Saccharomyces cerevisiae S288C: one gene and its partners. The protein of the gene in region 1 interacts with the protein of each later gene in a biochemical or structural test. Each region holds a gene or a part of one and is shown in the gene's direction. Other genes may lie near its edges. The genes, in order: BUD6, BNI1, AIP5 and BNR1.

What was found.
Region 2: the proteins of BUD6 (region 1) and BNI1 form a complex in vitro, tested with the Saccharomyces cerevisiae proteins (5 studies listed by BioGRID).
Region 3: the proteins of BUD6 (region 1) and AIP5 form a complex in vitro, tested with the Saccharomyces cerevisiae proteins (2 studies listed by BioGRID).
Region 4: the proteins of BUD6 (region 1) and BNR1 form a complex in vitro, tested with the Saccharomyces cerevisiae proteins (3 studies listed by BioGRID).

The regions. Positions count from the first base shown.
Region 1 is NC_001144.5:768,799-773,261, reverse strand, and holds BUD6 (formin-mediated actin nucleation enhancer), read left to right. Parts: upstream 1-1,577; coding exon 1,578-3,944; downstream 3,945-4,463. Other genes in the region: MMS22 (Mms22p), read right to left, coding at 1-1,322; EST2 (telomerase reverse transcriptase), read right to left, coding at 4,066-4,463.
Region 2 is NC_001146.8:129,342-136,902, reverse strand, and holds BNI1 (formin BNI1), read left to right. Parts: upstream 1-1,519; coding exon 1,520-7,381; downstream 7,382-7,561. Other genes in the region: arginine permease ALP1, read left to right, coding at 1-963. UniProt on the Saccharomyces cerevisiae protein: Required for the assembly of F-actin structures, such as actin cables and stress fibers. Nucleates actin filaments. Binds to the barbed end of the actin filament and acts as a leaky capper, slowing both polymerization and depolymerization.
Region 3 is NC_001138.5:176,508-182,270, reverse strand, and holds AIP5 (Aip5p), read left to right. Parts: upstream 1-1,527; coding exon 1,528-5,229; downstream 5,230-5,763.
Region 4 is NC_001141.2:39,889-46,456, forward strand, and holds BNR1 (formin BNR1), read left to right. Parts: upstream 1-1,936; coding exon 1,937-6,064; downstream 6,065-6,568. Other genes in the region: SMU2 (Smu2p), read left to right, coding at 1-252; POT1 (acetyl-CoA C-acyltransferase), read right to left, coding at 303-1,556; AIM20 (Aim20p), read left to right, coding at 6,313-6,568. UniProt on the Saccharomyces cerevisiae protein: May organize microtubules by mediating spindle positioning and movement in the budding process. Potential target of the RHO family members.

The DNA.
Region 1 (4,463 bases):
CTTCTCACTCTCTTACTTTTTGTATTCAAAAAGTTGGCATCATTGGTTGCTTTAATTCTTTTAGGTTTAACCAACATCTTGTCAATTATACCATCGTTATGCTCTTCAGCAGCATCTAGGGAAATTACACTTTGATTATCTTCGGCAGATATATTGTATTGCTCACTAAATCCGCTATCTGAATGCCGTGAATTCAAATAAATAATAGGCTGGTCTTTATAAGACACATGTGATATGCAGCTCCCCGGTCCGTCATATTCCAGCTCATACACTGGTTCATTGCGGTATTCCTCATTTAAATTAAAACCAGAAGTTCCAGCCGATTGTGCGTCTTCACTATACTTGCTCTCATAATATTCTTGCAATTCCTTTAATTCCTTTTCGTTAGCCTCACGATCCTCTGGAAGATTTCCTAAGTATATATCTGGAGGGGCGTTTTCCTCGATATCCAGTTCGTCATCAGGTGCAATAAGATCGTTCAATAAGTTCTGTTCTTCATCTTCAATATGGGCGCTTCTGTTCATTTTCCTCTTAGCCACACCCTTATGGTTCAATAATTGAGTTTTTCTTTTCGTGACTTTTGAAGACTGCTGCTTTTGCAACGACTTTTCCCAAGCAACTCTTGGCAGGACCCCACGGTAACCAGTTCTTACATTCAATACTCTTCCTCTAAATATTACTTCGTCATTTTGAGTATTCTGTAAATTTGTACTAGCCAAGTCTTGTTCATCTTCCGTAGAATCACCTGATTGAAATACTATATCCTGGTCGAGGTCTTTAAAAGTACGATGCCTTTTCTTTGGTATTTCTTCATCACTATCATATCTTTGAGATTGAACCGAGCTGTTTTCGGGTTTAATGGAGTCGATTGTAACATCTTTCTGCTCATCTAAGGGTTTACCAGTTCTCTTTGTAAGTAAAATATCATTTGAGTGAATCACTGTAGAAGCGTTCTTCGGTAAGGTCAACTGATTCGAAATGCTGTCAAAACTAGAGATATCATAGCCCTCTAGCAACTGCCTATGCTTTATGCGTTCTAAACTGTATGGCATCTTTTGAATAGCCTTCCTCTTCCTCAAAGACCACCGAAGCCCCGTAGTAACTTGTGTATCAGTTACTACGGAAGGAGTACAAGATTCTCCAGCAGTGGAATCCAGGCTCAACCTCTCAGTGACAATTTTCTGTGATCTGCTTGCTTCTTGGACGTTTTCCTCTGCCCATAAATAATTTTCATTGAATTCGGGTTCGTATATGATACTAATTTCCTCATCAGTGGCCTCAGAATCTGATATCACAATAGGATTCGGTTCATCAACATCCATAAGCTTATCTGCTGACGCTACCACTAAACTTCAAATCTACAATCCTATCTTTTATTCTTTCACTTCTTGAATTTAATTTTACACGCAGATGCGCTTTACTCTTTGAAGATATCTCGCTAGCCGAGCTGAACGAATTTTATCCTACTATTATGCATTCTTGAGATAATGGCATCAAAACAAACCCAAGAAAAGGGAAAAAGAGTAGAAGCTGGCTGCCAAATTGGTGTAGTAATCCTCGTATTATTTTAAAATTAGATGAAGATGGCCGTGGATGACCCTACGTATGGCACCCCAAAGATTAAAAGAACTGCTTCTAGCAGTAGTAGTATTGAAACGACAGTAACAAAGTTGCTGATGTCCACCAAGCACCTCCTCCAGGTCTTAACACAATGGTCTAAGGGGACAACCTCTGGAAGATTAGTATCTGATGCATACGTTCAGTTGGGCAATGACTTCAAAGTCGTATCGAAATTCTTCATGCATGCGAAAGTTGACATGTCAGATGTTGGTGATGTGCCAATGGCTTTAAGACGTGTATTGGAAGTGACATTGAGGGAACCACCATCTGATGAAACTTTAAATAAACATCTGCCAAAAATCAGAGAGATTATAGTGACACTTTTAGACAAACTAAAGGTTAAACAAGCAATTTTGAAGAATATGCAGCAAGAGCATCGGATAAGTGTAAAATCACATCATCAACAAAACCCTTCCTTTACTAGTAACCTTTCATTGGGTAGTGAAGGGACCCGTGAGGGGACTCCATTAAGTAGCAGAAAAAGCAGTATTGTACGTGATCAGAGGCAAAGCGATTCAGTCGAAAACAGCTATGGGGAAAAAGTGAATTCTACTTCTACGGGAACACCCTCTGCTCAGTCAGCAGAGGCAACATTGACAAAACCAAGAACTAATATTAAACAAAACCTTAAATCTAACAATGCTCCAAACGCATCTGATGATGATGATGCACTTTCACAATTGAAGAAGGGAACTAATTTACAAAGGAGAGCCTCAAAGAGATACTCTGCCTACCATATGGCTAAATTGACAAATCAGTCTACAACAGAAGCTGCTGCGGCTGCCGGCCTCATGACAACTCCTTCACCCTCGATGTTGCATCTAGAGGAAACCGTAAGAAAGTCAAAGTTATACGGAAATAACAACAATGATGATGATAGAAACATTAATTCAGCTGAAAATAAGGGTAAAAGCATTGACGATGTATCAAAGGCGAGTCCATTGGCGAAAACGCCATTGCCTATTGAGAATGTTCGTGCATCTCCACGAAGATTATCAAGCGTTGTTACAACTTCGCCAGATAAAGCCATGAATGGAACTTGTCCAGTATTTTTAAGGATAGGAGACAAAACAAAGAAGTGTCATGTGCAACTGCCTACTACAAAAAACGCATTAAGGCTCCTATTTATTGAGCGCTTTGCGTATTCTCCTGGAGCAAATTCCTTCCCAGACATATATATTATGGATCCTCAATATGGAGTATTCTATGAATTAGAGGAACTAAATCTTCTCGATATTAAAGAAGGGTTTGTTATCGAGCTAAAGCTCGAAGAGAATCCAAATAATACGATCAAGGAATTCATTGACACAGTTAAGATGGAGATATCGAATAGTCAGAATGATATAATAAGACATTTAAAAGAAATGAGTTTTGGTTCTGCAATTAGCGGCAAGCAAACGGAAGTTTTACCACAACCTGGCCTTGAAGCTAACAAACACGATCTTGTGGGGCAAAACAAAAAAGATGATGATAAAACGATCAAAGATATTCAGTACGAATTGGGGAAAATAAAACAAGTGCATAATATTAATAGGTCAAATATTAATGAGACTATTTTCAACATTTTACGAAAGGTCGATAACTTTAAGTCTTTATCATTTTCTGCCAAAAACTCTTCCAACAGAATGTACATGGAAAAATCACAGACCGAACTCGGTGATTTATCCGATACTCTGCTAAGTAAAGTAGATGATTTGCAAGATGTAATCGAAATTATGAGGAAAGACGTTGCTGAGCGTAGGTCTCAGCCCGCTAAAAAGAAGCTAGAAACCGTATCCAAGGATTTAGAAAATGCCCAAGCAGATGTACTTAAACTACAGGAGTTTATTGATACTGAAAAACCACATTGGAAAAAAACTTGGGAAGCTGAGCTCGATAAGGTCTGTGAAGAACAACAGTTTCTCACGTTGCAGGAAGAGTTGATTTTAGATTTGAAGGAAGACTTGGGTAAGGCATTAGAAACTTTCGATCTTATTAAGTTATGTTGTGAAGAACAAGAAAAAAACCCTTCGAGATCAAAAAGTAATCCTATTTTGCCTATTATGAGACCGGGCACATTTAATCAGGTAAGGGAGCAAGTTATGGTGGCCGTCCAATCTTTAAACCCTGACCACGATAGTAGGGTCGAAGCTATTGACAAGGCTGAGAAGATGTGGGAGATGGAAAGAAAACTTAAAGCTAGTAATGAATTTGATGATGAACTGGAAAATTTTGTGGGTAATTCAAACCTGAAAAAATCGGGAGGCTTTGAAGAAGTAGAAAGGATAAGAAAGCAGAAGGATGAAGCAAATTTGAGAGCATATTTTGGGCCGGGGTTTACTTAAATACACTAATTTTATGAAAGCTAACGGAAAAGAGATTAGTGCTTTTGGCTTATTACAAAGTTTGCGGCAATATTTTCCTTATCAGCATCATAAGCTGTCAGTATTTCATGTATTATTAGTACTAATTAACTATATGTATATATATATATATATATGCTTGCAAGTGTTGAATTTCCTTTCTCAAAAGAATGATATTATCTTTAAATTTTGATGTGTTTGAAGATAGGCTTTCCAAAAATCCATTCAATATGGTGAATCGTACCTCATACTCGATTAAAGGATCACATTTCGTAATTGGACAACCGCTGACTGTCATTTCAATGATGCGTTGTAAGAACGAATGAAATTGCATATTTTGCGTAACATTAATTGATAGATCCTTAAAAGCAGATTTATAACATTCCGAAATGTTCTTTACAACATGATCAATTTGCATGAGAACGGTGTTTGTTGAATTTAAATTTGTGTCAATTGTTTTATAAGAGATTCTAGTGTTAAACAGCGCTATTAAACTTCGAA
Region 2 (7,561 bases), on another chromosome or scaffold:
CCTGGCATTATCTCCAGTGATAAAAATGAGGGCCGTTTTCTCGGATGGGTTTCCTCTTTGATTAATGCTGCATTTACGTACCAAGGTACTGAACTGGTTGGGATAACCGCTGGTGAAGCGGCTAACCCAAGAAAAGCTCTCCCGAGGGCAATAAAGAAAGTTGTAGTGAGGATTCTAGTCTTTTACATTCTTTCACTATTTTTCATTGGCCTTTTGGTCCCATATAATGACCCAAAGTTGGATAGTGACGGTATATTTGTCTCTTCATCGCCCTTTATGATAAGCATTGAGAATTCAGGCACAAAAGTTCTCCCAGATATATTTAACGCGGTCGTGCTAATCACCATTCTTTCCGCAGGTAACTCTAATGTGTACATTGGCTCAAGAGTACTGTATAGTCTGTCTAAAAATAGCTTGGCGCCAAGGTTCTTGTCTAACGTGACCAGAGGTGGTGTTCCATACTTTTCTGTTCTATCTACATCCGTGTTCGGATTTTTGGCTTTCTTAGAGGTTTCTGCAGGCAGCGGCAAGGCCTTTAACTGGTTATTGAACATAACTGGTGTGGCCGGTTTCTTTGCCTGGCTTTTGATTTCATTTTCTCATATCCGTTTCATGCAAGCCATAAGGAAACGTGGTATATCGAGGGATGACTTACCTTATAAAGCTCAAATGATGCCTTTTTTGGCATATTATGCATCTTTTTTCATCGCTCTAATTGTTCTGATCCAGGGCTTCACCGCTTTCGCACCTACTTTTCAGCCTATAGACTTTGTCGCTGCATATATATCAATATTCCTATTTTTGGCCATATGGTTATCATTCCAAGTTTGGTTTAAGTGCCGCTTACTCTGGAAGCTGCAGGATATCGATATCGATTCTGACCGCCGGCAAATAGAGGAGTTGGTATGGATAGAGCCAGAATGTAAAACAAGGTGGCAACGAGTTTGGGATGTCCTTTCATAATTTTAGAATAATACTCCATACCACACACACACATATATATGTATGTATGTATGTATGTATGTATATGTATATTTGCCAAATCCTTGCTCAACTCTTTTCCTGTGATTATATGATTACTCCCTAGTTGTTTCGTTGTTAGCCGCCGAAAGTCATCGCCCGTAATTTCCATGGCTTACCCGACATCGGTTAGAGGAAGTTTTTGACGTGGAAGAGGGAAAGAAAGAAAAAACAGATGTGGAAAACTAGAATCCCTTTTAAGAACAATAGCACGGACCCTTCCTACAGATAAGAGGACACTGACGGCTGTGTGTTAATTATTTTCGTATTAAGCATAAAATTGGACAGTGGCATTCTTTTCTTCACCCTTCACGTTTTTTATACGTCTCATACAGTTGGGCCATTTTTTACTTTTTTTTTTGCCATTTGTATCTATCTTCTGTATTGAGGAGAAACATTTTAACTCAAGCCTAGTTAAATTCTAAATACACGCCACATAAAGAAGGCACCTGAACCTTTTCAACAAACGAGAAGCAAGAAAGGAAGAGAAGGAAAGGAAATGTTGAAGAATTCAGGCTCCAAACATTCGAACTCAAAGGAAAGTCATTCGAATTCGAGTTCTGGTATATTCCAAAATTTGAAGCGTTTGGCTAACTCAAATGCAACGAATAGCAATACGGGTTCTCCGACCTATGCATCCCAACAACAGCACTCTCCAGTGGGAAACGAAGTGTCCACTTCACCTGCATCTTCGTCATCTTTTAGAAAACTGAATGCACCTTCTAGGTCTACATCTACTGAGGCGAGGCCGTTGAATAAAAAATCGACATTAAACACACAAAACTTGTCTCAATATATGAATGGTAAATTAAGTGGAGATGTTCCCGTATCCTCACAGCACGCAAGGTCGCATTCAATGCAATCGAAATATTCGTATTCCAAGAGGAATTCTTCACAGGCGTCCAATAAGCTAACAAGGCAGCATACCGGGCAAAGTCACTCCGCATCAAGTCTTCTCTCTCAAGGTTCGCTAACTAACTTGAGCAAATTCACTACACCCGATGGTAAAATTTATTTAGAAATGCCGTCGGACCCATACGAGGTGGAAGTTTTGTTTGAAGATATTATGTATAAAAGAAATATTTTTCAGTCTTTATCAGAGGACAAACAAGAAGCTCTGATGGGCTACAGCATTGAGAAGAAATGGCTGATTGTTAAGCAGGATTTACAAAATGAGCTAAAAAAAATGCGAGCAAACACTACATCTTCTTCCACTGCCTCCAGAACTTCGATGGCGTCGGACCATCATCCTATCCTTACGGCTAATTCATCTCTTTCGTCTCCCAAATCTGTTTTGATGACAAGCGCCTCTTCTCCCACCTCAACTGTATACAGCAACAGTTTAAATCATTCTACTACTCTTTCATCGGTAGGTACGTCAACCTCGAAGGGGAAAAAATTAGTGAGCGGGAGTTTGAAAAAGCAGCCATCTCTAAACAATATTTATAGAGGTGGGGCTGAGAACAATACGAGTGCATCTACTCTTCCAGGAGACAGAACAAACAGACCACCGATACATTATGTGCAACGAATCCTGGCAGACAAACTTACTAGCGATGAGATGAAAGATTTATGGGTAACTTTAAGAACTGAACAGTTAGACTGGGTAGACGCTTTTATAGACCATCAGGGTCACATTGCTATGGCTAATGTACTAATGAACTCTATTTATAAGACTGCACCCCGAGAAAACTTGACTAAAGAATTATTAGAGAAAGAAAATTCATTTTTTAAATGCTTCAGAGTCTTATCAATGCTCTCACAAGGTTTGTATGAGTTCAGTACACATAGGTTAATGACTGATACTGTTGCAGAAGGTTTATTCTCTACGAAACTGGCCACAAGGAAAATGGCCACTGAAATTTTTGTTTGTATGCTAGAAAAAAAAAATAAAAGCAGATTCGAAGCAGTTCTTACCTCACTAGATAAAAAGTTTAGGATAGGGCAAAATCTTCATATGATTCAAAACTTCAAAAAAATGCCCCAGTATTTCTCTCATTTAACCTTGGAAAGTCATTTGAAAATTATTCAAGCCTGGTTATTTGCCGTTGAACAAACTTTAGATGGAAGAGGAAAAATGGGTTCCTTAGTAGGCGCGTCGGATGAATTTAAAAATGGTGGGGGTGAAAATGCGATTCTAGAATACTGCCAATGGACAATGGTTTTTATCAATCATTTATGCTCTTGCTCTGATAACATAAATCAAAGAATGCTATTAAGGACGAAACTAGAAAATTGTGGAATTTTACGAATTATGAACAAAATAAAACTGCTAGATTACGACAAGGTAATTGACCAAATTGAGTTATATGACAATAATAAACTTGACGATTTTAACGTTAAATTAGAGGCCAACAATAAGGCTTTTAATGTAGATTTACACGATCCACTATCATTATTAAAAAACCTTTGGGATATATGTAAAGGTACCGAGAATGAAAAGCTTTTAGTATCTTTAGTTCAACATCTTTTCCTTTCTAGTTCAAAGTTAATAGAAGAAAACCAAAATTCCTCTAAACTTACTAAGCAATTGAAACTTATGGATTCTTTGGTGACTAATGTTAGTGTTGCCTCAACTTCTGATGAAGAAACTAATATGAATATGGCTATCCAGCGGCTTTACGATGCCATGCAGACTGATGAAGTTGCACGTCGAGCTATATTAGAAAGTAGAGCTCTAACGAAGAAATTGGAAGAAATTCAGGCAGAAAGGGATTCTTTAAGTGAAAAGTTAAGCAAGGCGGAGCACGGACTCGTTGGACAGTTAGAAGATGAGTTGCATGAGAGAGATCGTATTTTAGCTAAGAATCAGAGAGTTATGCAGCAGCTGGAAGCTGAGTTAGAAGAGTTGAAAAAGAAGCATCTTTTGGAAAAGCATCAGCAAGAGGTAGAATTGAGAAAAATGTTGACTATATTGAATTCGAGGCCTGAAGAAAGCTTCAATAAGAATGAAGGCACCAGAGGTATGAACTCGAGCCTAAATTCTTCAGAGAAAGCGAATATCCAAAAGGTGTTACAGGACGGATTATCAAGAGCAAAAAAGGATTACAAGGATGATTCAAAAAAATTCGGCATGACACTTCAACCTAATAAGAGATTAAAAATGTTAAGAATGCAAATGGAAAATATTGAAAATGAAGCCAGGCAACTAGAGATGACAAATTTTGCTGAATTTGAGAAAGATCGTCTTGAACCTCCAATACATATTAAGAAGCCCAAAGTGAAGAAGATGAAAAATAAGGATAGGAAACCTTTAGTCAAGCCTCAAGAGGCGGACGTAAATAAACTAAATGACCTAAGGCGGGCTTTGGCTGAAATCCAAATGGAAAGTAATGATATTTCCAAATTTAACGTCGAAGAACGTGTTAATGAGCTATTTAATGAAAAGAAATCTCTGGCTTTAAAGAGACTGAAAGAACTAGAAACAAAATACAAAGGATTTGGTATTGACTTTAATGTCGACGAGATTATGGACAGTCCAAAGAAAAATACTGGGGACGTGGAAACGGAAGAAGACGCTAACTATGCCAGTCTTGACCCTAAGACATATCAGAAAAAGTTAGACGAGATTAATAGAATAACGGACCAGTTGTTAGATATTCAGACTCAAACCGAACACGAAATACAAGTAGAAGAAGATGGGGAAAGCGATCTTTCCTCTTCAAGTTCTGATGATGAAAGTGAGGAAATATACCAAGACGCATCTCCAACTCAAGAACTAAGGAGCGAACACTCAGAGCTATCTTCAGGATCAGGTCCTGGGTCTTTTCTCGATGCCTTATCTCAAAAATATGGTACTGGTCAAAATGTTACTGCATCGGCTGCTTTTGGAGAGAACAATAACGGTTCGGGTATTGGACCTCTACATAGTAAAGTTGAAAAGACCTTTATGAACAGACTCAGAAAATCCACCGTGTCTTCTGCTCCATATTTAGAGGAGTTAACACAGAAGGTAAATAAAGTTGAACCATATGAACAAAATGAAGATGAAGGTCTAGATAAAAAATCTTTACCGGAAAACAGCACGGCAAGTGCAGCTTCCGCCTTTGACAAAGCTGAGAAAGACATGAGACAACATGTGGAAAACGGAAAGCAAGGGCGTGTGGTAAATCATGAAGAAGATAAAACAGCGGATTTCAGCGCTGTGAGTAAACTGAATAATACAGATGGCGCAGAAGATCTCTCTACTCAATCATCTGTACTCTCCTCACAGCCGCCACCGCCTCCTCCTCCTCCTCCTCCAGTTCCCGCCAAATTGTTCGGTGAATCGTTGGAGAAAGAGAAAAAGTCGGAAGACGACACTGTCAAGCAAGAAACTACTGGGGATTCTCCTGCTCCTCCCCCTCCACCACCACCACCTCCTCCTCCACCCATGGCATTGTTCGGCAAACCCAAGGGAGAAACACCACCACCGCCGCCGCTACCATCTGTATTATCTTCATCTACTGATGGCGTCATTCCGCCAGCTCCACCTATGATGCCGGCATCGCAAATCAAATCAGCTGTAACATCACCATTACTTCCTCAATCGCCCTCATTATTTGAAAAGTATCCTCGTCCACACAAGAAATTAAAGCAACTGCATTGGGAAAAATTAGATTGTACTGATAATTCTATTTGGGGTACAGGTAAAGCTGAGAAGTTCGCAGATGACTTATACGAAAAGGGTGTTCTTGCTGATTTAGAAAAGGCCTTTGCCGCTAGGGAAATTAAATCATTAGCAAGCAAGCGCAAGGAAGATCTGCAGAAAATTACATTTTTATCCAGGGATATTTCTCAACAGTTTGGTATCAATTTGCATATGTATTCATCACTTTCGGTTGCCGATCTGGTGAAAAAGATTCTAAACTGCGATAGGGATTTTTTGCAAACACCGAGTGTTGTTGAGTTTTTGTCAAAATCTGAAATAATTGAAGTTTCTGTTAATTTAGCTAGGAATTACGCCCCGTATTCGACAGACTGGGAGGGCGTGAGGAATCTCGAAGATGCCAAGCCCCCTGAAAAAGATCCAAACGATTTACAGAGGGCTGACCAAATTTATTTGCAATTGATGGTTAATCTAGAATCATACTGGGGTTCACGTATGAGAGCTCTCACAGTGGTTACTTCGTATGAAAGAGAATATAATGAGTTATTGGCAAAGTTAAGAAAAGTCGACAAAGCTGTTAGCGCGCTTCAAGAATCAGATAACTTGCGCAATGTCTTTAATGTTATCTTAGCAGTTGGTAATTTCATGAACGACACTTCTAAGCAGGCACAAGGTTTCAAACTTTCAACCTTGCAGAGGTTGACGTTTATCAAGGATACTACCAATAGCATGACCTTTCTAAATTACGTCGAAAAAATTGTCAGGTTAAATTATCCAAGCTTCAATGACTTTCTAAGTGAATTAGAACCTGTATTGGATGTCGTGAAAGTTTCCATTGAGCAGTTAGTTAACGACTGTAAGGACTTTAGCCAATCGATTGTAAACGTAGAGCGTTCAGTTGAAATTGGTAATTTAAGCGATTCCTCAAAGTTTCATCCATTAGATAAAGTTTTGATAAAAACATTGCCCGTGTTACCGGAAGCCAGAAAAAAGGGGGACTTGTTAGAAGACGAAGTTAAGCTGACTATCATGGAATTTGAAAGTCTGATGCATACGTACGGTGAAGATTCTGGTGATAAGTTTGCAAAAATCTCATTCTTTAAGAAATTTGCAGATTTTATAAATGAATACAAAAAAGCTCAAGCGCAAAATCTAGCCGCGGAAGAAGAAGAAAGACTTTATATAAAGCATAAGAAAATAGTGGAAGAACAGCAAAAAAGGGCACAAGAAAAGGAAAAACAAAAAGAGAACAGCAATTCGCCTTCATCTGAAGGAAATGAAGAGGATGAAGCAGAAGATAGGCGCGCTGTTATGGATAAACTATTAGAACAGTTGAAAAATGCAGGTCCTGCTAAAAGTGACCCATCTTCCGCCAGAAAGAGAGCCCTAGTGAGGAAAAAATATCTTTCTGAAAAAGACAACGCTCCACAATTACTCAACGATTTGGATACTGAAGAAGGGTCTATTCTTTATTCTCCAGAAGCTATGGACCCTACTGCCGATACAGTGATTCACGCTGAATCACCCACTCCGCTTGCCACAAGGGGTGTTATGAATACCTCTGAAGATTTACCATCGCCATCCAAGACATCTGCGCTGGAAGATCAAGAGGAAATTAGTGACAGAGCTAGAATGTTATTAAAGGAGCTAAGAGGCTCTGACACACCAGTAAAGCAAAATTCCATACTCGATGAACATCTAGAAAAATTGAGGGCCCGCAAGGAAAGATCCATAGGTGAGGCTAGCACAGGTAACAGGCTAAGTTTCAAATAAAATATTAAACCAAAAAATTATGACAACAGTAATACCAAAACAAACATCCAAACAAGCACTAGTACAAAGAAATAGTCACGAATCATTAAATCACATATATATATATAATTTTAATGTTTATAGATCACTTATGATACACTTTACATTCATCTTTACTCAAATGATCTCTACTATTGCATT
Region 3 (5,763 bases), on another chromosome or scaffold:
CTCCCTAGTGTCGTCCACACCTACCCACTCATACATATGTACGTAACGTCAATCTCTTTAGCTTCTTTTCTACATTTTTTTGTATATGTACCAAAACGTTGCGCATATTCTTCACTCATTTGCTCCCGTGGCTCGGCGGCTATTTTTCTTTTCCTACGGAGCGGACTGTGGTGCTTACGTGATAACAAACAACCCGAGACAAGATCCAATCATTGTCTGACTGGTATTCCTGCCACCATATTAAAAGATAAGACGGTCGAAAGATAATACATAAAGATAGGTGGAAATTGAGATAAAACCAGTCCAAAAATTCTAGATATATCTAGATATAGAACCAATTTTTTTTTCCCTTGTTTTTGATATGTTCCTTCGCTATCCTATTACGTTATTCATTCTTGCATTTCTGATTCCCTAGACTTGTTGACCGCCTATCGCCATTTAAGTTACCTTCTTTATTATATATTACTATATAGTGTTGACATGAATATTGTCAATTATAACAGTTAATTCCTATTTCAACGGGCACAAGTTACAAAAAAACTTAATCTGTTTCAGATGTCATTTTTATTTAGTAAAACTTGAAACGTACAATAAAATGACAGCGATATCGTGTAGAACTATCAATTCATTTCAATGGATTTCTGTACCCTCACGAATAGTTTAGATTATGTTATATAGGCGTGGTGATAATGCGATACTTTTTTTATTGACATAGTATTCATGACAGTACCTCTGCACAAAATAAAGTGTTTTCCGCGATCCGTACCTAACGTTGCCGCATGTTCGGTGAGAATTGGGAGAATAATTTGATAATTACTGGAGTTTCATTGTTGGTAAAGGCTATAATATGATGAATACAGAATGTACTAAATCCTCTCATTTCAACATATACGACCTAATTTTTATGAAGCTCCCTCGTCTTATTTTGTTTTGAATACTTGCCGGTGGTAATCGCATCATTTTCAAATTTAATTTCAAAATTATATATTCTAACTCTCAACTCCTTTCAATCTTGAGGTGCCCGCTGTTGTAAACAAGACTTCAGACCTACTAAAAAGGTGGGGAGTGCTCAAGAACTCGGATGTAAACTAACTAATAAGTGCTTATTGAGAAAGATAAGAATACAGAGACAATTGTTGCCTCGTGGCGGGGCTATTTACAGGTATTTCTGGTTAATGTTGGAGCTGTTGTGACCTTATTAGAACACGAACACTTCCAAGAAATAAGCGCAAGTGGTTTAGTGGTAAAATCCAACGTTGCCATCGTTGGGCCCCCGGTTCGATTCCGGGCTTGCGCAGTCCTTTTTTTAAGGATAAATTTATCCTAAAGCTTCCGAGAATATAACAGACAAGATGAAAATATTTGTTAAGTTTCTGAACACGAAATTGTCGTATATTTTCCCTTAATATTTCGTAGTCACTTCGCATATAAGCAAGTGGTTTTATTCCAGAACACTTTCTCTTTTTAAACCTGTTAGCAATTATTGTACTGGTGTGCTTGATTACTCTGGATTAAATAAAGAGTGACATGGTAGAATCTTTGACTGTAGAAAATCAGGAACACAATGTTCAACCCCCATCGGTAACTAGTGCTGGAGATTCGTATTCGACACTTGCTACAGATCTTCCCTTACCAAGTACGAATGATATTATAGAAAGTCGAGATCAACTTACAGAAAGTGACTTAGATGAAGCGATAAATGCCACTGAGAATTTTGCACAGGAATTATCATCTCAAAGGAAATCTTCTAAATTGAAAGGTCATAAAAAGAAAAACCAGGGACAAATAAAGGCGAATCGTGACAGAGATACTATTGTAAAACTTTCCAGTTCTGTTGGTGAAACCGAGGAAGCTTCCACACGGGATGCAATCTCTCATGATTTGGAAAGAAAAGACGACGTAATAGAGATAGCCACAGATACAATAAATGACGCTACAGAATCTCCCACACAGATCCCAATAGACGTCAATGTAGTTATCAAAGAAACTTCTACTAACAATGTAGCGGAAGGCACAGAAAATGTACCACCAATCAAAGAATCCACAGGAATTGAGGTTGGCAATAGCCCAATTACGAGAAGAAAAAAAAACAAAAAGAAAAAAACCACGAATAGAAGAGGTCGTAATTCTTCAAATCCTGCAGATACTACTGATTTGTCAAAACAGTCAACTTTAGATTCCATACTAGTAGGCATTGAAGAGTACCTACAGGAAGATGGTTCAAAGAACGAGGATATCAAAGTAAATATTGTCCAAGATGAGCCTGTTAATGTCGAAAAAATGGATATCAGAACCAGAAATGAATCTAGTGACAAAACCTTCGACATAGATGTGCCTAACAAAGATAATGTTGACGAAACTTCCTCAAAGTCCGAGAACAATATCAACGAGGAAAAGGCAGAACATACCTTACCTCGAGAAGAGAATGAGATCTTAAATGTTAATGAGGGAAATGCAGCTTCTTTTAAACACCAACTAGAGCCGCACGGTTTGGAGGCAGGTGATGAAAATGGGCAAGCGTCTACTAAGGATGTTGAAAGTGAAAGTTTAACTAAGAATGGGTTTAATTTCAAAGAGAACGAATCAAAACATTTGAAAGCTGGGGAAAAGCAGCAGACTGAAAGTGATAGAGACGGAATAAGTCCTTCAGTTCTTGCAAAAAATCAGAAAGAAACAGAAATCGGGAAAGAAGACCATGTTTTTGAACAGAAGGATAAAGAAGACGAAAAATGTAGGAAAGAATTATCTGTTAATCATGAGAATAACATGAGCCATAATTTTAACGCAGCTGGTAGTGATAGTATCATCCCTCCAGAAACTGAGCGAGAGACTTATGATGACGAAACGATGGGACCAACAAAGCGCATTAGTGACAATGAAAAAAATCTACAACACGGTACTAACGATATATCTGTAGAAGTTGAAAAAGAAGAAGAAGAAGAAGAAGAAGAAGAAGAAAATTCGACTTTTTCAAAAGTTAAAAAAGAAAATGTAACCGGGGAGCAAGAAGCTGTAAGAAATAATGAAGTGTCCGGTACCGAAGAAGAATCTACATCAAAAGGAGAGGAAATTATGGGGGGAGATGAAAAGCAGTCAGAAGCGGGAGAAAAATCTTCCATTATTGAAATAGAGGGAAGCGCAAACTCTGCAAAAATTTCTAAAGATAACCTTGTTCTTGAAGATGAAGCTGAAGCACCTACTCAGGAAAACAAGCCTACGGAAGTTGTCGGAGAAATCGATATACCTGACGCGCCTAGGGATGATGTAGAGATTGTTGAGGCTGTGGAAAAAAATATAATACCTGAAGATCTCGAGGTTGCCAAAGAAGATCAAGAAGGGGAACAAGTCAAGCTGGATGAACCTGTTAAGGCCATGAAAGATGATAAAATAGCAATGAGAGGTGCTGAGTCTATCAGTGAAGACATGAAAAAGAAGCAAGAGGGGACTGCTGAGCTTTCCAACGAGAAAGCAAAAAAAGAGGTTGATGAAACAGCAAGAGAAAGTGCAGAAGGTGTAGAGGTTGAGAAATCGAAGACTCCTGAGTCTCCAAAAGTAGTTAAGCGTTGTACCTCCGGAAGACCAGAAGATCTTCAAATCAACGAAAGAGATCCTGAGGTTCTAAAGGAAGATGTTAGAGTTCCCGATGAAGATGTAAAGCCAGAAATTGCAACAACCATTGAGAATTCCGAAGAAGAAGATCCCAAATCCCAGCGCGTTCAAATTTCAACAGAACAAGCTGAAACTACACAAAAGGATATGGGAGATGTAGGATCTACTACTAGTTTCAAAGAAGAAGAAAAACCCAAACGCTTTGAAATTACACAAGAAGGCGATAAAATCACCGGCAAAGATACAAATCATGAACATGGTGAAGCTACTGAGGCTGCGAGCGAAAATTCAAAAGCAAGTGATGTTGGAACTGCCGAAAAATATATAGAACCTAGCAGCGAATCTGTCAAGAAGGACACCGAGGAAGATGCAGAAGTGGAGAATTCCGAAAAAACTGAATTTATCAAGGTAAAGGCAGAGCTTGAAAATCTTGACGCTCCAAAAGAGGCAGAAGTCACTGCTGAACTGAATAAAGAAAATGAAGATGTGGAAGTTGACACCGAGGAAGATGCAGAAGTGGAGAATTCCGAAAAAACTGAATTTATCAAGGTAAAGGCAGAGCTTGGAAATCTTGACGCTCCAAAAGAGGCAGAAGTCACTGCTGAACTGAATAAAGAAAATGAAGATGTGGAAGTTGCTGCAACTTCAAAAGAAGACATCGAAACAAAATGTTCGGAACCTGCTGAGACTCCAATAGAGGATGGAACATGTACGGAGGCAGAAGTTTCAAAAAAGGATGCGGAAGCCGTGACAAAAGAAGACGAGAATATGGAAAATTCTAAGATTGCTGAGGCGCTCAAAGATGTCACCGGAGATCAAGAGATCGACGATATCAACATTTCAGACGAATTTCAAAGGACAGTCGAATTGCCAGAATTGGAAAAACAAGATATAAAGGATAATAAAGGAGAAGACAAGGAATTGGAAGTAGAAGAAACAGAGAAAGAAACTTCTCTTCCTGATCTTGTAGTGGAAGAAAACATCACGGAGGAAAAGAATGAAATTAAGCAAGAAGAAGAGGAGGTATCCCAGTTAGACTTCAATGAAACAGAGTCAATCAGTAAAGAAGCCCCAAACAATGACGAAAATGGATTTGAAGATCAAAGTACAAGGGAAAATCCCAAGAAAGCAAGTGCAGATGACATCTTCAAAGATATTTTGGACGAAACGAATGAGTTTTTAGAGCAACTAAAAATTGTTGATGATTCTGAACTAAACGCTCTACTCCAATCACTAGATGCGAAAGACTCCACAACTCAAACTACTGAGCAATCCAAGAAAAACAATGACAAGCCACAAGACGTAATAACGACTAGCGAGATCCGGAAGCTGAATGAAAAGGAACCTGTATATATATACACGTCACTAGCCGGAGGCGGTTTCCATATGATCCCCAGAACAAATCGCTTAAGCACAATCCTGACGGCCAACCGAATCCCGTTCACCTACAGAGATCTTGGCACAGATGATGAAGCGAGAAAAGTTTGGAAGACTTTCAGCAAGGGTAGGAGTCTTCCAGGTGTGGTCAGAGGACACAATGACTTAATCGGGAACTGGGAAGAAATAGAAGAAGCTAACGAAGACTACAAATTGCGGGAACTCATTTACGATACTATTTAAGAAAGCTTAAGCGCGCTACGTAACTAACATAATCTCTTGACAGCACATGTGATTTATAGTTCTCCTCCCACGTTTAACCCACATAAAACAAGGTAAAAGAAACCTTGTCAAATAATTGCTCTATTGACAGGAGCAAAGCTTGCCCAAAGAGGTTGCACAGAAGCGCCGTAAACGGAATCTTTCAGGGGCACAATTTCCCGATCGGTACGGCAAAGGCAAAAGCCACCTGCGCGGCTACTCAGGGACCATTTCCTGCCACAGAACTTCCCGTGAAACATGCCCCGGCCTATGGGTTCCTGGAACCCCCCACAAGTAATACCCCTTGGAGGATTTTTCAGAAAGAAAGCGAAGCTATTGTTAGCTGGTCAATTGAATAAGGGCAGACAAGAGGCTGTATGACTACAGTTGCATGCGGAGACGGCTTCAACAGCAACAGCAACAGGAAGTGTTCACACCAACGCACAGCCTACACCGGTGTATATAAACATAAACTCCTTCTTTTCTTCCCGCAACGGTTCTTCTTATTACCTTCCA
Region 4 (6,568 bases), on another chromosome or scaffold:
AAAATTTTATTCAACATACCTTTGGATTATCCAAAGGCCCCAATAAAACTAACGATGAAAAGTAATGAAGAAGTTTCCTCTTACATGGACACCGTGATAGCGAATTTCAACTGGAAAGCCCGTCAATTGGTTAAGGAGGACTGGAGGATATTATCTCAAATAAACTATTTGGTTAGTGAGTTAGAAATATTGAAAATGGAAAATTATAAACAAATTGATAAACTACGTAATAGCTTTTACAAAACCATATAAATATGAGCATAATAAAAAGGGAGAATATTAACTATTATCAAGTATTAAAACTATTCTTTAATAAAGATGGCGGCGGCACCCATACCAGTACCGATACACATACTAACAACCCCGATTTGATCCTTTTTCAGTTCTCTTAGTATGGTAGCTACTTGCCTTGCGCCAGTACAACCCAAGGGATGGCCTAACGCGATTGCACCACCTCTTGGATTTACTTTATTCAAATCGATGCCCAGTTTATGGATGCAGTATAATGCTTGGGCCGCGAATGCTTCATTTATTTCAAAAATATCGATATCTTGGACTTGCAAGCCAGTAGCTTCCAGGACTTTTGGTATGGCGTATGCAGGGCCCACACCCATGATTTCAGGGGGAACCCCCACTGTTTGAAAATCGATGTAGCGACCTAGCACAGGCAGATTTAACTGGTTGGCTACGGACCTGCGGGCTAACAAGACACCTGCCACACCATCGGAGACCTGGGATGCATTGCCCGCAGTTGTGGTTCCTCTGTCTTTGATAAAGGCAGGCCTGATGCTTGAAAGCGACTCCGCAGTGACGTTAGGGCGTGGCCCTTCGTCCGACTGGCAAATTGAGCCATCTGGTAATTTTATAGGTAAAATTTCATCTTCGAAAAGCCCCTCATTTTTCGCCTTGTAAGCTTTTTGATATGAATTCGCAGCGAACTCGTCTTGATCCTTTCTACTGATCTTGAAATTAGCGGCAACATTCTCATTAGTAATGCCCATTGGTATTAGACATTTCTTCGCTTCTCGGTTTTTTTGCAGCTCTTCAGAGGAGATCATGCCCAAGGGATTGACGTTTTTGTAGTTATTGGTCATTGATTCCACTCCCAGCGCCAAACCAATATCAATTTGCCCAACCTTAATCTTGTTGGCAATATCGTTCACCGCCGTTAAACCTGAAGAACATTGTCTGTTTAAAGCGACAAATGGCGTCGAGTAGGGAATCCCACTTGCCAAGCATGCAGCCCTGTGTTCTGTAGCACCGGCTCCAACATTGAGAACATTTCCACAGGCAACTTCTTCGATTAAGTTCAAATCAGCCCTCAAAGGTTCCGGAAACCTCCCGATGAACTCATTGAGAAAGTTGTATAATAAGTAGTCTGTGTTTACATCTTTGAAGGCACCTTTAAAACCTTTACCGATGGCAGACCTGTTAGCAGCCACAATAACTACATCTTCGGGTCTTTTCTCCAGCAACGAGTTCTTCCTCTTCGATTCACCCTTACCCATGGCGCTCTCCACCAAATGATCCTTGATACTTTGTAGTCTTTGAGACATTGCTTTTATGTAGTGTTATATTCACTCTGTACTCAGAGCCACAAGAAATAACCATTCGATTTCAATAGAACTGAGATGCAAAAGTATACCCTATTTATATCTCTTCTTTCTAGTAAAACTCCAATAAATTTGAAACCAATAGAGGGAGAAAGGAAAAAAAAGCTGCGGTGTTAATACTATTATCCCCGTTTCCCTTTGATAGCGCCTTACACGGCGCTACCACATCATTACCCTCCTCATGTTGACGCGTCAAGTTTTTTTTCTTTTTTCGCTATTTGTGGCATAGGTTCAAAACTAGCAAATTCTTGATCTTTTGAAGATTACATAGTGATGATGATCGTGACACAAAAGCAGATAAAAAAATAGCACAATCATCAGCGATGGACTCTTCCCCGAACAAGAAGACGTACCGCTACCCTCGCAGATCGCTGTCACTTCACGCGCGTGATAGGGTCAGCGAAGCCCGTAAATTGGAAGAATTGAATTTGAACGATGGGCTGGTTGCCGCTGGCTTGCAGTTGGTCGGTGTAGCGTTAGAGAAACAAGGTACAGGATCACATATATACATGAAACAGAAGAATTTCTCAGCTAATGACGTTTCTTCGTCACCAATGGTTTCCGAAGAAGTGAACGGATCGGAAATGGATTTTAATCCGAAGTGCATGCCTCAGGACGCATCACTCGTCGAAAGAATGTTTGATGAGCTTTTAAAAGATGGAACTTTTTTTTGGGGGGCTGCTTATAAGAATTTACAAAACATCTCTCTACGAAGGAAATGGTTATTGATATGTAAAATCCGTAGTTCCAATCATTGGGGGAAAAAGAAAGTGACTTCGAGCACGACATACTCTACACATTTGGCCACTAATGAACTAGCTGAAAACGCACACTTTTTGGATGGCCTAGTTAGAAACCTTTCAACAGGTGGCATGAAGTTATCGAAGGCTCTATATAAACTAGAAAAATTCCTGCGAAAGCAAAGCTTTTTGCAACTTTTTCTCAAGGATGAAATTTACTTGACGACATTGATCGAAAAGACTTTGCCACTCATATCCAAGGAATTACAATTTGTTTATCTTCGGTGCTTTAAAATACTGATGAACAACCCACTGGCGAGAATAAGAGCACTACATTCTGAGCCTTTAATTCGCTGGTTCACCGAGCTTCTGACGGATCAAAATTCTAATTTGAAATGTCAGTTACTTTCTATGGAGTTACTTTTATTATTAACGTATGTTGAGGGTTCCACGGGTTGTGAGTTGATATGGGACCAGCTTTCCATATTATTCACCGATTGGCTAGAATGGTTTGACAAAATCCTTGCGGATGATATTGCAATTCATTCATCCCTTTATTTGAACTGGAACCAATTAAAAATAGACTATTCGACAACTTTCCTACTGCTAATAAACTCCATACTGCAAGGTTTCAACAACAAGACTGCACTAGAAATTTTGAATTTTTTGAAAAAGAATAATATACATAACACTATCACATTTTTAGAACTGGCCTATAAAGATGATCCTAATAGTGTCGTGATCATGGAACAAATAAAACAATTCAAATCCAAAGAATCTGCGATATTTGACTCGATGATAAAAACTACCAACGATACGAATTCGCTTCACCCAACAAAAGATATCGCAAGAATAGAAAGCGAGCCTCTATGTCTTGAAAATTGCCTGTTATTGAAGGCAAAAGATAGTCCCGTAGAGGCACCAATAAACGAGATTATTCAATCGCTGTGGAAAATCTTAGACTCTCAAAAACCATACTCAGAATCTATTAAACTATTAAAATTGATAAATTCTTTGCTGTTTTATCTCATAGATTCCTTTCAAGTGTCAACGAATCCTTCTTTTGATGAAACCTTGGAGTCCGCAGAAAATGTGGATTATGTTTTTCAAGATTCTGTTAATAAATTGTTGGATTCTCTACAATCTGATGAAATTGCTAGAAGAGCGGTCACAGAAATTGATGATCTTAATGCTAAGATTTCTCATTTGAATGAAAAATTAAATTTAGTAGAAAATCATGATAAAGATCATTTAATAGCAAAACTAGATGAAAGTGAATCTTTGATATCTCTGAAAACCAAGGAAATTGAAAATCTGAAACTGCAGTTGAAGGCAACCAAGAAAAGACTAGACCAAATTACCACGCATCAAAGGTTATATGACCAGCCACCTTCATTGGCAAGTAGCAACTTGAGTATTGCCGGCTCGATAATAAAAAATAATAGTCATGGAAATATCATTTTCCAAAATTTAGCAAAAAAGCAACAGCAGCAGCAAAAAATTTCTCTGCCCAAGCGTTCAACTAGTCTACTAAAAAGTAAAAGAGTTACGTCCCTTTCATCATATTTAACTGATGCAAATAACGAAAATGAGTCCCAAAATGAATCCGAAGATAAATCAAAAGACTCATTATTTCAAAGATCTACGTCAACCATTAATTTTAATATCCCTTCTATGAAAAATATTACTAATATGCAAAATGTCTCTCTAAATTCGATACTTTCAGAGTTGGAATTTTCAAATAGCCTAGGAACACAACCTAATTACCAATCGTCTCCCGTGTTGTCTTCGGTTTCTTCTTCACCAAAACTTTTCCCTCGACTTTCCTCAGATAGTCTTGATAATGGAATCCAACTAGTACCTGAAGTTGTTAAACTACCTCAACTTCCACCGCCCCCTCCTCCACCTCCCCCTCCTCCACTTCCACAGTCTCTTTTGACTGAAGCAGAAGCTAAACCGGATGGTGTTTCCTGTATTGCAGCACCTGCACCGCCACCCCTTCCAGATCTATTTAAAACTAAAACTTGTGGCGCCGTTCCACCACCACCACCGCCACCGCCTTTACCCGAGTCCTTGTCGATGAACAAAGGCCCCTCCAATCACGATTTAGTTACTCCTCCAGCTCCACCTTTACCAAATGGTCTTCTTTCTTCCTCCTCAGTGTCTATCAATCCAACGACAACCGATTTAAAACCACCTCCAACTGAAAAGCGATTGAAGCAAATCCACTGGGATAAGGTGGAGGATATCAAAGACACACTTTGGGAAGACACGTTTCAACGCCAAGAAACAATCAAAGAATTACAAACTGATGGTATATTCTCTCAGATTGAAGATATTTTTAAGATGAAAAGTCCGACTAAGATTGCAAATAAAAGGAACGCAGAATCCTCAATTGCCTTGTCTTCAAACAATGGCAAGTCTTCCAATGAGCTGAAGAAAATTTCATTCTTATCAAGAGATTTGGCTCAGCAATTTGGTATTAATTTACACATGTTTTCCCAATTATCTGATATGGAATTTGTTATGAAAGTATTGAACTGTGATAACGACATTGTCCAAAATGTTAACATACTGAAATTTTTTTGTAAAGAAGAGTTAGTAAATATACCAAAAAGTATGCTTAATAAGTACGAGCCATATTCACAGGGTAAGGATGGTAAAGCAGTAAGTGACTTACAAAGAGCTGACAGAATATTTTTGGAGTTGTGTATCAATTTAAGATTTTATTGGAATGCAAGATCAAAGAGTCTGCTGACATTGTCAACATACGAGAGAGATTATTACGATTTGATTTTCAAGTTACAAAAAATTGATGATGCAATTTCACACTTAAATCGTTCACCTAAATTTAAAAGTTTGATGTTTATTATCACGGAAATAGGCAATCATATGAATAAAAGAATTGTTAAGGGTATCAAATTGAAGTCATTGACTAAACTTGCCTTTGTCAGATCCAGTATTGATCAAAATGTATCATTTTTGCATTTTATTGAAAAAGTCATAAGAATAAAATATCCTGATATATACGGTTTTGTGGATGATTTGAAGAACATTGAAGATTTAGGTAAAATCTCACTAGAACACGTTGAATCAGAGTGTCATGAATTTCATAAAAAAATTGAGGATTTAGTTACTCAGTTTCAAGTAGGAAAGCTATCCAAAGAGGAGAACTTAGACCCCAGAGATCAAATTATTAAAAAGGTCAAGTTTAAGATTAATCGGGCCAAAACAAAAAGTGAATTATTGATTGGTCAATGTAAATTAACTTTAATAGATTTGAATAAACTGATGAAATATTACGGTGAAGATCCCAAAGATAAAGAGAGTAAAAACGAATTTTTCCAACCCTTTATTGAATTTTTAGCCATGTTTAAGAAATGTGCCAAGGAAAACATTGAAAAGGAGGAAATGGAAAGAGTGTACGAACAAAGGAAGAGCTTGTTAGATATGAGGACAAGCAGTAATAAGAAAAGCAATGGAAGTGATGAAAACGATGGTGAAAAAGTAAACAGGGATGCTGTTGATCTACTCATATCTAAATTACGCGAAGTAAAGAAGGATCCAGAACCTCTAAGAAGAAGAAAGAGTACAAAACTCAATGAAATAGCCATTAACGTACATGAAGGAGATGTAAAAACGAGAAAGGATGAAGATCACGTTTTACTAGAGAGAACGCATGCTATGCTGAACGATATTCAAAATATATAGTGAAGACTTAGTATTTTATGTAGTTGTGGAGCTTATATAAAGAAATGGACAATATTCGCAATCGCTTCTCAAAAGGGAAATATTTTCCCTTTTCGGGCGGTGGTCGTGTTGACAAATTTCCTAGTTAAGAACTAAGATTTGGAGATGGACAGATTCATTAATAAATTTCAAAATAAGCACAGAAAGCATCGAATTTTTAGCTCAAAACAATCTACTTTTCAATCATCAAAACAGACTATTGAATAAAGATGGGCAATGTGTCTGTGGCAGTGGGAACGGCAGTTGGGATTCCAATTGCTGTGGGCGTAATAATAGCCCTGATATTTTGGTGTAAATTACAACGACGTTACAAAAAAGAAGAGATTAGAGATGCTGATTTGGAGAAGATGGTAATGGAAGAAGTGGCAGTGTCGGTATATGATGGTTTTAAAGCCGAAATTAACAGCTCAAGTGAAGCTTCCACGATAAACGAAAAGGAAGCAAACCAGGATCTTAAACCCTGCC